Callithrix jacchus: one gene and its partners. The protein of the gene in region 1 purifies or fractionates together with the protein of each later gene. This does not show direct contact. Links are inferred from orthologs where the notes say so. Each region holds a gene or a part of one and is shown on either strand. Other genes may lie near its edges.

Region 1 (4,657 bases):
TCTATTTCCTGATCTCTGTGACTGGAGAGAAGGCAGGTAGCCGGCAGACATGACCCTACAGGGCATGCCAAAGATATTTCTTCTAATATTTTGGTTTACTCCCTTCTTTTTTTTTTTTTTTGAGATGGAGTTTCACTCTTGCTACCCAGGCTGGAGTGCAATGGCACGATCTCGGCTCACCGCAACCTCCGCCTCTTGGGATCAGGCAATTTTCCTGCCTCAGCCTCCTGAGTAGCTGGGATTACAGGCATGCACCACCATGCCCAGCTAATTTTTTGTATTTTTAGTAGTGACGGGGTTTCACCATGTTGACCAGGAGGGTCTCAATCTCTTGACCTCGTGATCCACAAGCCTCGGCCTCCCAAACTGCTAGGATTACAGGCGCGAGCCACCGCCTCCCGCCCACTCTTTTTTTTTTTTTTTTTTAAGACAAAGTCTTGCTCTGTCACCCAGGCTGGAGTGCAGTGGCACAGTCTTGACTCACTGCAACCTCCACCTCCCAGGTTCAAGAAATTCTCCTGCCTCAGCCTCCCAAGTAGGTGGGATTACAGGCGCCTGCCAGCATGCCCAGCAAATTTTTATATTTTTAGTAGAGGCAGGGTTTCACCATGTTGGCCAGGCTGGTCTTGAACTCATGCCCTCAGGTGATCCACCCTCCTCAGCCTCCCAAAGTGCTGGGATTACAGGCAGGAGCCACTGCATCTGGCTCTACTCAATGTTGAGAACCATAGCTACAATTAAAGTGAAATTTGGGAATCTCTATAAAATACTCAAGACGCAATTTATATTAGAAAATCTATCATTTTCTCCAGCAGTCTGTACGTAATCTAATATTAACATTATTAAAGGTAGCTAGAGTATGAACAGGAGTTCATGTCGTACTGCCTTACAGCAGTAAAAAACTTCAGATATTAGTTGAAATGATCATCTCTTAAGCCCAAATAAAGTGTCTCCACAAATTGTAAATTTTACATAGGAAATTCACTTATATTTCAAAATGAAATTGTTTTTAGAAGCATTTCGTATAATTCCAAGACATTTTCTTACTTGAAACCTGGAAAAAAAAAATGCAACCAAATAACTGATGTGTAAATGTCTTTATTCTTAAGACAAGAATCTTGAAGTACTGTAACTGCACCAAGAAAAACTTAGAGAAAGCAAATTACAAATGACTCAAGTAGTCAACACATCTTTCACACAAGATTTCTGTAGGTTTCGGGTAAGGAAGACCCTCAAAGCTGAAATGTATGCTGTTTAAGTAACCGAAGTAATTAAATAATGACTAACAAATGTAGGTGCTATTTAAGAAAGCACCGATTTTAACAAGCAATGTTATCACTGACTAAATATATTTAAACTGTTCCCAAAATACCCAATCCAAGCACATATTTTTGAAATGTGTGGGTTTTCCCCAAGAGAAGCAAAACTTTGACATTTCTCTTGGATATATTAGACTTTCAGACCTCCAACCCACATCTGGAAAGAACATTTCAAACTTAACTTGATGTTACTTTTTAAACTCAAATGGCCAACAATGAGATACTTAGTAACAGATCTGAACAAGACAGAGTCAACAGAATGTTTAGAAATGAAATAAAAGTAGTATTCAAAGTTTATCATCTTCGATGTGGAGAAAGAAGCATGGAACAAAAGATGCATTTGCCGCCTCTGCCCTGTAATTCGTGAACACCATACTTCTCTCCTTATGTCTCGCCAGGGAAGCGAAAATAAGAATTTTGTAAAAGCTTGCTAAATTCAAATATGACCATTTCATCTAGATTTCTATCGATCCTCCCCAAAATTTCTTTTCATTAAAAAAAAAAAATCAAAACAACAGATTAAAACCTACAGCAGATTCTACAGACTACACCTAGATCACTTTGCTCTAACGCCAAGGAAAATGTTTACGATTTCAAGATCCACTCAGAAGCAAATACTGTATCTGCAATGCGTAAGCTTTTCGTTGGCAAGACCAGTCAATATCAGAGAGCATGCAAGGTTTTAAAGGTTAAGTGGATGAAGGTTAAAAGCTAATAATAAACTACCCAAGAAATATTACTTTCCCCCGAGCCATAAAATGATTTCGGTCCTACAATCCTAAAGAACCAGAGGGGTTTCTCGTTTCCGTAGAGGACATCTAACCCTCCATGGTCTAAACGACGGACAGAAAAACTGCACCAAGGCACCAGGGGTAGCAGAGACGGAGATTTCTAACACTGGGTGAGCCCGCGGTCACAAATCTCAACACGATTTCACCTTTGGGTGAAAAGGTGGGAGGGAAGCAGTAAGTTTCAGCCTCGGCTCCACTGGAAACAGACAACGTCTAAAGGACCCTGGAAGGAGGCGGAAAGCGGCGAAGTCGTGGTGTCCGCGGTGCAGCAGCAGAGAATCAGGATCTTGGAAACGGGATGCGGAGGAGTGGGCTCTTATGTAAGCACACACCAAAACTGTGCGTGTACCCCCCGCCTGATGCACATCTGAGCACAGCGCAGACGTACACACAGCCTCTCACCAGGGGTGCAGCCCCAGCTGCGGGCGCCGCAGAGCAGGGCGGACTGACCCTTCGGCCCGTCTCCACGTCCCTTCAAATCAGTGAAGCCATCACCATGGGCTGCAGTGGGGGCTGCCCAGGCCCAGGTGCCCCGCCCGAGACCCAGCCTGGCTTCGCCGGGGCGCCCCCAGCGCGTGCCCACAATCTCCTGCGCCCGGCCCCGCGCGCCCGACCCCCAACCTGAACCCCACTCTCCGACCCGACTCCCTGTGGTCGGACCCGACACCCCGCATCCCGGCTGGAATCCCAGCATCTGGCCCGACTCCCGCACCCGGACCAGAATCCCCGCACCCATACCCGAATCCTGCACTGGCCCGGCCCCGGGGCTTACCTCGCCCGGCCCAGACCCCGCCGCCGCACAGCAGCCCGACCAGCAGCAACCGGGCGGCCGGGGCCAGCGCGGGCGCGGGGCGGCGCAGCATCGCCGGCCCGGGGCGGGAGCGGCAGGGAGGCGCGCGGGACGCCCAGCGGGGCTCTCGGGGCTCTCAAGACTCTCGGGGCCCAGGGTCGGCTGCTCTGTGGCGCGGCGAGCTCCGGGGTCCGAGGAGGAGCCGCCGCCGCCGCCGTGACGCTGGGCCGCGCGCTCGGGTCGCGCCGCCCTCCCCGCCTCGGAGAAGCGCCTTGCTGGAGGCAGCGGCAGCAACTAAGATGGCGGCGGCGCTCTCTCTCGGGTCCGGCAAGGGTACCCGGCCGGGGGCGGGGTGGCGGCGGGAGGGGCGGGGATGGGGAGCGACGCTAGGCGCGCGCGCGATGGACCCCGGGAGCGCGCGGGCCCGGGAAGGGCGGGAGAGGAGGGAACGCGCGCGGCGGAGCCGGGAACGAGCGCGCGCCTCCGAGCCCGTCGGCCCCGTCTGGAGCGCGCACCCGCGGGCACGCGCCTGGGGTGAGTTCCAAGCGGCCGGGAGGGGCCCGCGGTGGGGCCCGGGGGTCGGCACCCCTTTCCCCGGCCGCCGCCCGAGAGCCTCATCTCCGCATCCCCGCGCTCACTCCCGGGCTCCTGAGGCCAGGCGAGCGGTACCCTGGGGCCGCGCCTCCTCCTCCACACCGAGGACTCATCCTTCCCACTCTCTCCCCCAGGAGCGCAGACCGCGGCTGGCGAGTGCGGCCCAGGGCCCGAGTCACTTCGGGCAGGTCGTGTGGCCTCCCAGAACCTCGGGGTCCTCTTCTGCCCAGTAAGGGGATGAGAGGGGTCGCGAAAGGGGGTCCAGGAGACGAGGCCAGCGAACTGCGCCTGGCAAACAGTCAAGGGCCGCGCAGCACGAGCCGCCCCGGCTCCTGCCCTGGATCCTGCCCCCAGAGAATCTGTCCAGAATTCACTGAAGAAATCTTTGTGACTTTCCAAAGGCGGCTGTTATGTGCGCTCTTTCTCAGTGACATACTGTGATGCTGGTTCTTAGAAATGCGGGGGTCCGTATGGATACAGAGGACAAAGAGGTGGCTCACGCCTGTAATCCCAGCACTTTGGGAGGCTGAGGCAGGCGGATCACCTGAGGTTGGGAGTTCGAGACCAGCCTGGCCAACATGGAGAAACCCCGTCTCTACTAATAATGCAAAAATTAGCCGGGTGTGGCGATGCTTGCCTGTAATCCCAGCTACTTATGAGTCTGAGGCACGAGAATCACTTGAACCCGGAGGCAGAGGTTGCAGTCAGCCGAGATGGTACCACTGCACTCCAGCCTGGGCAACAAGAGTGAAACTCGGTCTCAAAAAAAAAAAAAAAAGAGAGAGAGAGGACAAAGAAGCTCTCCCCATCTACCGTGGATCCCTACAGGGATCTGAGGGTCCTCCCATTTTCCCAGTGTCCTGGGGTCCCCTCCTCCTCCTCTGCAGGACCCCTGGCACTCTCCACAGTGGAGGAAAGGCCTGGAACAGTAGTGGAAGGGCGTGTGTGCCGGCACTGTACCCTATGAGACACTATTGGCTCCATTTTGCAGATGAGGAAACTAAGTCAGAAAGGTGAAATGACTTCCCTCGTTGGGACAACTATTGTGGAAAGAATCAGCCCTCAAGGTCAGGATGTTCACAGTAGATGGACACCAACGGCAAAAAGTTGAACACTAAAATGTTCATTTTTCGAGACTGCTGGAAGAGCTATCCATGAATGTC
Region 2 (3,999 bases), on another chromosome or scaffold:
TTTCTTGATGATGTTCTTAGATGCACAAGAGTTTTTTTCAACATGGGTGAAGCCAACAGACCTAGTTTTTATTTTGCTGTTCATGCTTTTGGGGTCATATTCATGCTCTTTTAATTTTTTTTTAATTTTTGAGACAAAGTCTCACTCTGTCACCCAGGCTGGAGTGCAGTGGTGCAATCTCAGCTCATGGCAACCTCTGCCTCCCAGGTTCAAGCAACTCTCCTGCCTTAGCCTCCCGAGTAGCTGGACTACAGGTGTGCAACACTGCACCCGGCTAATTTTTGTATTTTTAGTAGAGATGGTATTTTGCCATGCTAACCAGGCTGGTCTGGAACTCCTGACCTCAGGCAATTTCCCCACCTTGGCCTCCCACAGTGCTGGGATTACGATTTTTTTTTTACTTTTATTTTTTGAGATGGAGTCTCACTCTGGCACCCAGGCTGGAGTTCAGTGGTGCAGTCTCGGCTGCCTGCACCCTCTACCTCCTGGGTTCAAGTGATTCTCCTGTCTCGGCCTTCCACGTAGCTGGGACTACAGGTGCCCATCACAATGCCTAACTTATTTTTGTATTTTTAGTAGAGACAGGGTTTCATCATGTTGGCCAGGATGGTCTCGATCTCCTGACCTCAGGTGATCCATCCACCTCGGCCTCCCAAAGTGCTAGGGTTACAGGTGTGAGCCACTGTGTCCCGCCTCATGCTCTTTTAAACAGTATAACTTTATTTGTTCAAACTAAAATATCTGACATTTTCTATTCTAAATCAAGTTTTCAATAAAAGTCATGTAAATGAGAACCATTAACTCAGAGTTCCCATGGGCTGCTTAAGGACACACGTATGACTGACCTGTTTGCGAGACCTCATGGCAGCTTCTTCTAATGTTTCTGCAGCTTCAAATTTGCCTTGACGTCTATAAAGTGCCCCGAGGTTTTTCAGAGTGGTTGTAACAGTTGGACTGTAAGAAAGCACACGACACAGAACTATTACATATCAGCTTTGGAACAAGCACTACCAATGGCACATAATCTAGAGGACTAAAAGGCTGATGTTTTGGCTTGAATATATTTTAACTCTCTCATACTTTTTTGGAACTATAAAATTCTAAAGAGTTCTTCCATCTCAAGCAGCTCTGCTTCCCATGACCTGGCCCTTCCCGTAAAAGGCCTCCGCAGGCCAGGCTAACACCACACTCCATCCAGGCTGAGGTGGCTCTCACAGACCACTGGCCACTCTGTCAACAGAAATGTGTGGCTAGGTCTGTATGGTAATCAGAACGCTTTCCCTGGAGACAGAGCTTGGTCTGCGCCGGTTCTGCAATGAGGAACGGTGCTTTGACTGTTGCTGCTCACATGCTCCCATCTCCCCACAAGTACGGGGGAGAATAGAGCAAAGCAGAATGTCCCTATCAGTGGGCAGTGAGGGCAGAGAATAAATGCTTCATGTACCAGGGAAGCAATCCATAGCAGATGGCAGAGAGGACAGCTATGTTTCTGTGTTCTCTTATTTTTCAAACTGTATCATTGGGCTTGATGTTTCTGCATTCTTGATGGAGAAGACTTACTAAAAAAAATTATAAATAAATGTAGATTCAGTTTAGCATAGATAAGTACTTTGAGAGATTTCTTTTCCCTTTCTTACAATAGGCATTTTGGATATAGAAATACAGAAGCTATCTTCTATGTCTCTAAAACAATTAATCTATGACAAGTGCTAGGGGAGCCCTGGAGAGGGTTCAGAGAGTTTTCTGAAAAGAGATGAATGGTAGGCTGAGCCTTAAAGGATAAGGAAAGTTAAGGGTGGAAAGACAGCCACTCAGACCCAGGGACAGCAGCCATCACAGAGGCCAGTCTGCACAGGCTCAGGCTCAAGACGCAAGGCTCTCGGGCTGGCTGCAGAGGAGCCTACACTTCCCTTTGCAGAGGACAAGGCTCCAAGGGCCGTGAGGAAAAGGAGTGTGTATGGATCTGTGTCCCCACTGCTGCATGTAACGGGCTGGCTTTCCCAGACCTGCTGGCATGCTTGCCATGAGTTTGCTGTATGGTTTTGCCATTAAATAAAAGTAGAGAGATGGAACCCGACCTCTCGAAGGCAGATTGTGGCTCCACTCTCACCCTGGTAATGAGATGTTGAGCACCAAACTGGTAACCAAGGTTGCGCTTCCAGCTAATTTTCCCACCAGTACCCATCCTGCGGTATTCATTCTCTTTGTCTCACACCCTGCAGAAACCCAGTCGCGGGGGGTATCCCCCTGAAAACTGTACTTGGCCAAATACTGATTTCTTTGGATTAGAGAACTACAACTCCCCGGTCCTGAGCCAGTATTTCCCTTTTGCAGCTGCACAGTAGTTAAAAACAAAGCTGAATGTTCTGGGATGTTCTAGTGTTCCTTGGGTCCCGCTGGCGAGTATGGGCTTTCTGCAGAGCACAACCAGCCTCGTGTGCTTTGGGGACAGTTCACCGCACTTGGAAGGGACTGGCCTGGGCTACATCATCTAAACATCCTTGGATTGATGCAGGTCAGCAGTCTCCACTGGAGAAAAAGATCTTGGATCTGGGTGGTGTGCATACAACAGCAGGAAGACAACTGGTAACTCAGAAATAGCAAGAGGAGTATAAAATGCTCTGTAGGGAGCAAGCTCTTTCTCTTGACTATTAGCTTGCCAAAGCGGAGTTTTATTATAATAAAAGAAGAGTGGAAATGATTAGAAGAGACAGGCAATGAAATCAAGAAAAAAATGGAAAGGAAAACAACCCAAAGCACTGAAGGAACCTGACAGATGAAACACACAGGAAGGCACATACATCAAACAGCACAGGCAAGAGAAGTTAAGAACAAATCATTTGGACAAGTACTATGACTCCCCTAATGAAACAAAATTATCAGAAATCATACAGAAGGGCATGGCATCCAGAACACACAGAGAAGAAAGCAGATAAATGAGAGGGAACAGATGCAAATTAAAGATCACCAGGAACACATGATCTGAGGGAGAGAACTTACAGAGGAAAGACTCAAGGAAAGAATCTTTTTTTTTGAGACGGAGTTTCACTGTTGTTACCCAGGCTGGAGTGCAATGGCGCGATCTCGGCTCACCGCAACCTCCGCCTCCTGGGTTCAGGCAATTCTCCTGCCTCAGCCTCCTGAGTAGCTGGGATTACAGGCACGCGCCACTGTGCCCAGCTAATTTTTTGTATATTTAGTAGAGACGGGGTTTCACATGTTGACCAGGATGGTCTCGATCTCTTGACCTCGTGATCCACCCGCCTCGACCTCCCAAAGTGCTGGGATTACAGGCTTGCGCCACCACGCCCAGCCTTAAAGTGAATATTCTTATAGAAAAGTCTCAGAATGGAGAGAAAGTGAATATAATTATGAAACCGTATCAAAGAAAATTCCTGACCATGGCACCCTTTTTAAGCAATCAGGAAAAATAAGAGTTATAAAGTTTCAGTGCTGTTATGGTAAAATCCTGTCTCTTAAGTGAACCTTTTTAAAATGCTCGTTCTTATCTCTCCCCAGGGTTCAGAGAAGATTCCCATTTATCTTAGATACAGATATATCTGATATACATAAGATAGTTCTGGATTGAAAATTAGCCTAACTATTTTAGCTGACTGGCATTTGCTCAAGTTGCATATCCTTTCTAATGTTCAGTGTCCTCATCTTTAAAGTGGCAGTGATATTTGATAGCATTCTGGAAGGACTATTGTTTTTGTGAAGTGTAGGTATGTATTAGTTGTTTCATAAATGTTAGTTTCCCTACTTGGGAAGACCGGGGTTGGGCAATAGTGGTGAATAAAGAATTGTTCTAAAAAAAAAAATTAAGGGCCAGGCGTGGTGGCTCATGCCTATAATCCCGACACTTTGGGAGGCCAAGGCGGGTGGATCACCTGAGGTCGGAAGTTCACAACCAGCCTGACCAACATGGAGAAACCCCGTCTCCTCTAGTAAAAATACAAAATTTGCCGGGCATGCTGGCACATGCCTGTAATCCCAGCT
Region 3 (3,999 bases), on another chromosome or scaffold:
ATATGCCTTTTAATGCTGCTATTATCATCAGCTAGTGCTCAGCACCCAGGAGATAGTTCTGAAAGGCATGTGGGATCTCTAAGGGAGCGTGGGTGCTCTAGCAGGGGAGGCTGGAAGCTGCCAGCAGCAGAGGTGTAGTTGGTCCCAGTGGCTTCCCCTAGGTGTCTTTGGAAAGTTCTTATGGGACAGAGGAGCAAATACCCTGAGGATGGCCCATAGCTTAACTGTTTGTTGAACGGCTGAATGATTCTGTCTGCTGTGGATGAGTGGATGACGGCCTCTGCTGCTTGTTGAATGAGTGAATGCATGATCCGGGCTTCTTGCTGAAGGCATGCCAGCCAGTTCCTGTAGAAGGACTTTTCCAACAAGAGTGAAGGCGGGAGGCGGGGGCAAGACATGGGTGCTGGAGTCATAACGTTCCTCTGGCCTCGTGGGTATGGTGGGATGGGAGGAGCAGGAGCCAGGACACTGGAGCCCTGCTTGGGGCAGGACGGTCAGTGCTGGGCATGGTGGGGATGGGGTCCGTACTTCCAGGTTCCCAGGAGGGTGTGGGAGCCAGAGTGGGGTGAGGCTGGAGGTGGGTGGGCAGGGCTCCCAGCCCAAGACCTCTCCTGGCTGAGATGAGCCGGCCTTGGATCCCAGGGCAGGGTGGGATGTGCTGGGACAGGGTCAGCCTTGTCCTCCCATGGGTCCTTGGCAGAGGCCCTGGCCCCGCTGCCAGCCCCTCATACTGCCGATCCCTTTGCAGCTGCAGCTGGAGAAGCACAAGGGCGAGATCCTGGGCGTTGTGGTGGTGGAGTCAGGCTGGGGCTCCATCCTGCCCACGGTGATCCTGGCCAACATGATGAATGGCGGCCCAGCCGCCCGCTCAGGGAAGCTGAGCATCGGGGACCAGATCATGTCCATCAATGGCACCAGCCTGGTGGGGCTGCCCCTCGCCACCTGCCAAGGCATCATCAAGGTGGGTGCCCTGGGACCCTCTGCCCAGGGGTTGCCTCAGCCTCACCTCACTTGATCTGCAAACCCCCACTTCACTCATGGGGAAACTGAGGCCCAGGGAGACCCACCCAGTGAATGGTTGATGATAGCATCAAAATTTGAACTCAAGACCATTCTCCATGTCTGAATCAGAGGTGGACCCAGGCGGCCCCGGGGCAGGAAGGGAGGGCTTGTCTGAGCCCTCTGCTGAGCCATATGGCCCTGGGCAGGGACCCAAGGACCAGTGAGTTTGGGGTGACCAGCTTATCCTGTTCTGCCTGGGACTTCCCTAGATTATCACTGAAAGTCCCTTCAGTGCTCTTGGGTTGAGTGCCGGGACACAGGTTTCCTTAAGTAAGAAGGCCACCCTGATTATCAGACTCACGAGCTTGCAGCTTTGGGGGCTGACCGCCTGTTGCTGTGAGGGGTCAGGCAGAAGGGTCACTGGCAGGTGGGGTGGGGCTTTCACTGGCTGCCCACAGAGGAGTGGGCTCTGCCTGCTGCTGGCAGCTCCTGTGAGCCACCATGGCCTGACCCCCAGCCCTGAAGGTAGGGAGGCATGTTCCTCCCTACCCTGCTGTGGTCTTGGTGCTGGAGGAAACGCCTTCCTCCTCTCTGTTCAGACTGAGAGATGGAAGGGCATTCCCTAGGCCAGAGCATCCCATGGACCGGCTCTCAGAGCTGGCCTGGCAGAGCTTCTGCCTGATGGGCAGCCACACAGAGGCACGGGAGAGGCCTCTGCCAGCGGCATCAGAGGGCTCAGCGCCAAGCACCACCTGCCGAGGGCTAGAACTCCCAGGTGGAGGCTTGGGCTCCTCTCCTCCCTGTGCCTCCTCACCCCCTCCGGACCCCAGCAGCCTGGGGCACCCACTGATAGTTTCGTCCTCACTCACAGTTTCTTGTGGTCACCCCCTGCCCTGCAGGTCCGTCCTTGGAAGGCACGGGGCTTTGAGGAAAGTGTCCCACATCCTAATGTAGGAAGATCTCCTGAATGTGGATGATCATGGCCCGCCTGAGCACCCTGAGGGTGACCTGGTGCCAGGTGTGTTGGTTGTGCCCACTGGCACTCAGAGCCTGGCCTTGCTCCCACAGCAGCTCATCTTCCTCAGGGCAGAGGCACCCTGAGCATGGTGGGACAGAGGGCGCACAATGTCACCCTGGAAACCTGGCAGCCCTCCTAAGGGCCAGGGCAGGGCTCGCCACCCCCACCACCACCCCCGCCCCCCGCAGAGAGGGGCCACTGAGGCTGAGAGGGGACTGTGTGTCTCGCCCAGAGTGTGTTCTCACCGCCCCGGCCTCCACCCTGCCAGCCTCACTCCTCTTGGGTCGGGCTTGACGTCTGAGGCCCAGCCTGTGACTCCTGTCCCCGTGCTCTGCAGGGCCTGAAGAACCAGACGCAGGTGAAGCTCAACATCGTCAGCTGTCCCCCGGTCACCACAGTCCTCATCAAGCGACCAGACCTCAAGTACCAGCTGGGCTTCAGTGTGCAGAATGGCATTGTGAGTTCCTGTTTCTGCCCTGGGCCACCATCACCGCTACAGGGGTCAGGGAGGGGAAGCAGCTCCTGTCTGATGGGGCAGGACCCAGGCCACCAGGGCACACACTTTCCACGACTCTCTGGGAGGTCCTGGGTAGAAGGGGAAGACCAGGGCATGGCCATGGATTGGGTCCTCCAGCCTTTCCAGGTGCCTTTGGAGGGAGGGCAGCAGGCTTTGCCAGCCACTGTAGCTTGGACATAGCCAATCGTGGCTTCACTCACTGTGCTCAACAAACATGTTCACTCATTCATTCAGCAGACATTTGTGAAGTACCTGACCAAGCTTTGTGCCAGGCACTGGGGAGGCAGGAGTGCTGCCCGGAGGAGGTGATGCTGGGTTTGAGTGTGGTTTTGCCCAAAAACCTGTGCCAGTTCCCCGGGCCAAAGCTGTTTAGCCCAGAGTTGGCACCCTGTCTCTGACCTGCATTTGGGGCCTGGACCATTCTTTCCTTTGTTTTTCCTCCTGCAAAGGACCCAGAGGGCAGAGATATGGCCACTGAATGGAGTGAAAAAGAAAAGGGCTGGCAATACCCAAATTGTTTAACCAGCCCTGAGTATGAAGGAGCCCAGGAGGAGAGAGACTGAGGACTGGGGGCAGTGTCGTGGAGGTGACAGGAAGGGGTGTGTGCCCCCCGCAGCCATGGAGGAGACAGTGGGAGAACATTGCAAGAAGACAGGCACCAGGTCTCCTCCATCGTTTCCTGGTGAAGCGGTGTGGAGGGCGCCCCCACCATCTGGGTGGAGTCACAGGGCTTGGGTTTAGGCTCCGTTTCTGACCCTGCTGCATTAGAGCAGATTGGCTGCTATAAAAAGTCCCGTGAATCTCTATACACTGAAAGCATATTGCTAATGTGCAGTGGGGAAGGCGGGGCTGGGGCACAGAGAGGTACAGTGGCTGGCATAGCTTGCTGCTTTGGCAGCCCCCACTGGGTGCTCTGTGTCTGGCTGGCACTGCAGGAAGAGAGGCAGCCCAGAAGACCTCGTGAAGGTTTTCAGGGCCAGGGCGGAAGTGACCCTTGTCATTTCTGCCCACTGCTAACAGCCCACAGGCCAGATAGCTCAGCCATGGACCCACGGGGAGTCTGGGAAGGGAGAGCTACCCAGTGCTGAGGACCAAGAGGGACAGGGCATCGGCCAGTGTCAGCCATGCCTTTCCTGCTGTGTGACCCTCGGCAAGTCACTTGTGCTCACTGGATTCCCCTCAAAAGGTGCTTGTGAAGATCAGCTGAGAAAATCCGTAAAGTAGCGCAGGCTATCCAAGGTGGGCCCGAGGGTCCTATTCCCTGCCAAGGAGGAAGCCTTGTGGCCCCTGGACCTGGCACAGGTGCTGGGACAAGTCGTGTGCACCCCACTTGGGACTTCTATCCAGGATGGTGCCACAGGAGCTGCCCAGCTGGTGGTCTGGCCTGGTCTGGCTCTGCCTGGCTGTTCTGCACACCTGTGACCTGGGCACAAGCAGTTGCTCCAGCTAATTTGGCAGCTCT

What was found. The genes of interacting proteins can lie anywhere in the genome.
Region 2: the proteins of CLSTN1 (region 1) and KLC1 purify together in Homo sapiens (co-immunoprecipitation; 3 studies listed by BioGRID and IntAct, with this or other methods). This does not show direct contact. The link is inferred for Callithrix jacchus from reciprocal best matches to the Homo sapiens genes CLSTN1 and KLC1.
Region 3: the proteins of CLSTN1 (region 1) and APBA2 purify together in Homo sapiens (affinity purification with western blotting; 3 studies listed by BioGRID and IntAct, with this or other methods). This does not show direct contact. The link is inferred for Callithrix jacchus from reciprocal best matches to the Homo sapiens genes CLSTN1 and APBA2.

Annotation. Positions count from the first base shown.
Region 1 is NC_133508.1:47,685,328-47,689,984, forward strand, and holds the start of CLSTN1 (calsyntenin-1), read right to left. Parts: upstream 3,205-4,657; 5' UTR 2,974-3,204; coding exon 2,883-2,973; intron 1-2,882. Other genes in the region: uncharacterized protein LOC144576928, read left to right, coding at 3,274-3,434, 3,629-3,935. UniProt on the Homo sapiens protein: Postsynaptic adhesion molecule that binds to presynaptic neurexins to mediate both excitatory and inhibitory synapse formation.
Region 2 is NC_133509.1:138,479,896-138,483,894, reverse strand, and holds part of KLC1 (kinesin light chain 1), read right to left. Parts: intron 955-3,999; coding exon 846-954; intron 1-845. UniProt on the Homo sapiens protein: Kinesin is a microtubule-associated force-producing protein that may play a role in organelle transport. The light chain may function in coupling of cargo to the heavy chain or in the modulation of its ATPase activity.
Region 3 is NC_133507.1:7,394,256-7,398,254, forward strand, and holds part of APBA2 (amyloid-beta A4 precursor protein-binding family A member 2), read left to right. Parts: exon of another isoform or gene 1-748; coding exon 749-961; exon of another isoform or gene 962-2,357; coding exon 2,358-2,477; exon of another isoform or gene 2,478-2,605; intron 2,606-3,999. UniProt on the Homo sapiens protein: Putative function in synaptic vesicle exocytosis by binding to STXBP1, an essential component of the synaptic vesicle exocytotic machinery. May modulate processing of the amyloid-beta precursor protein (APP) and hence formation of APP-beta.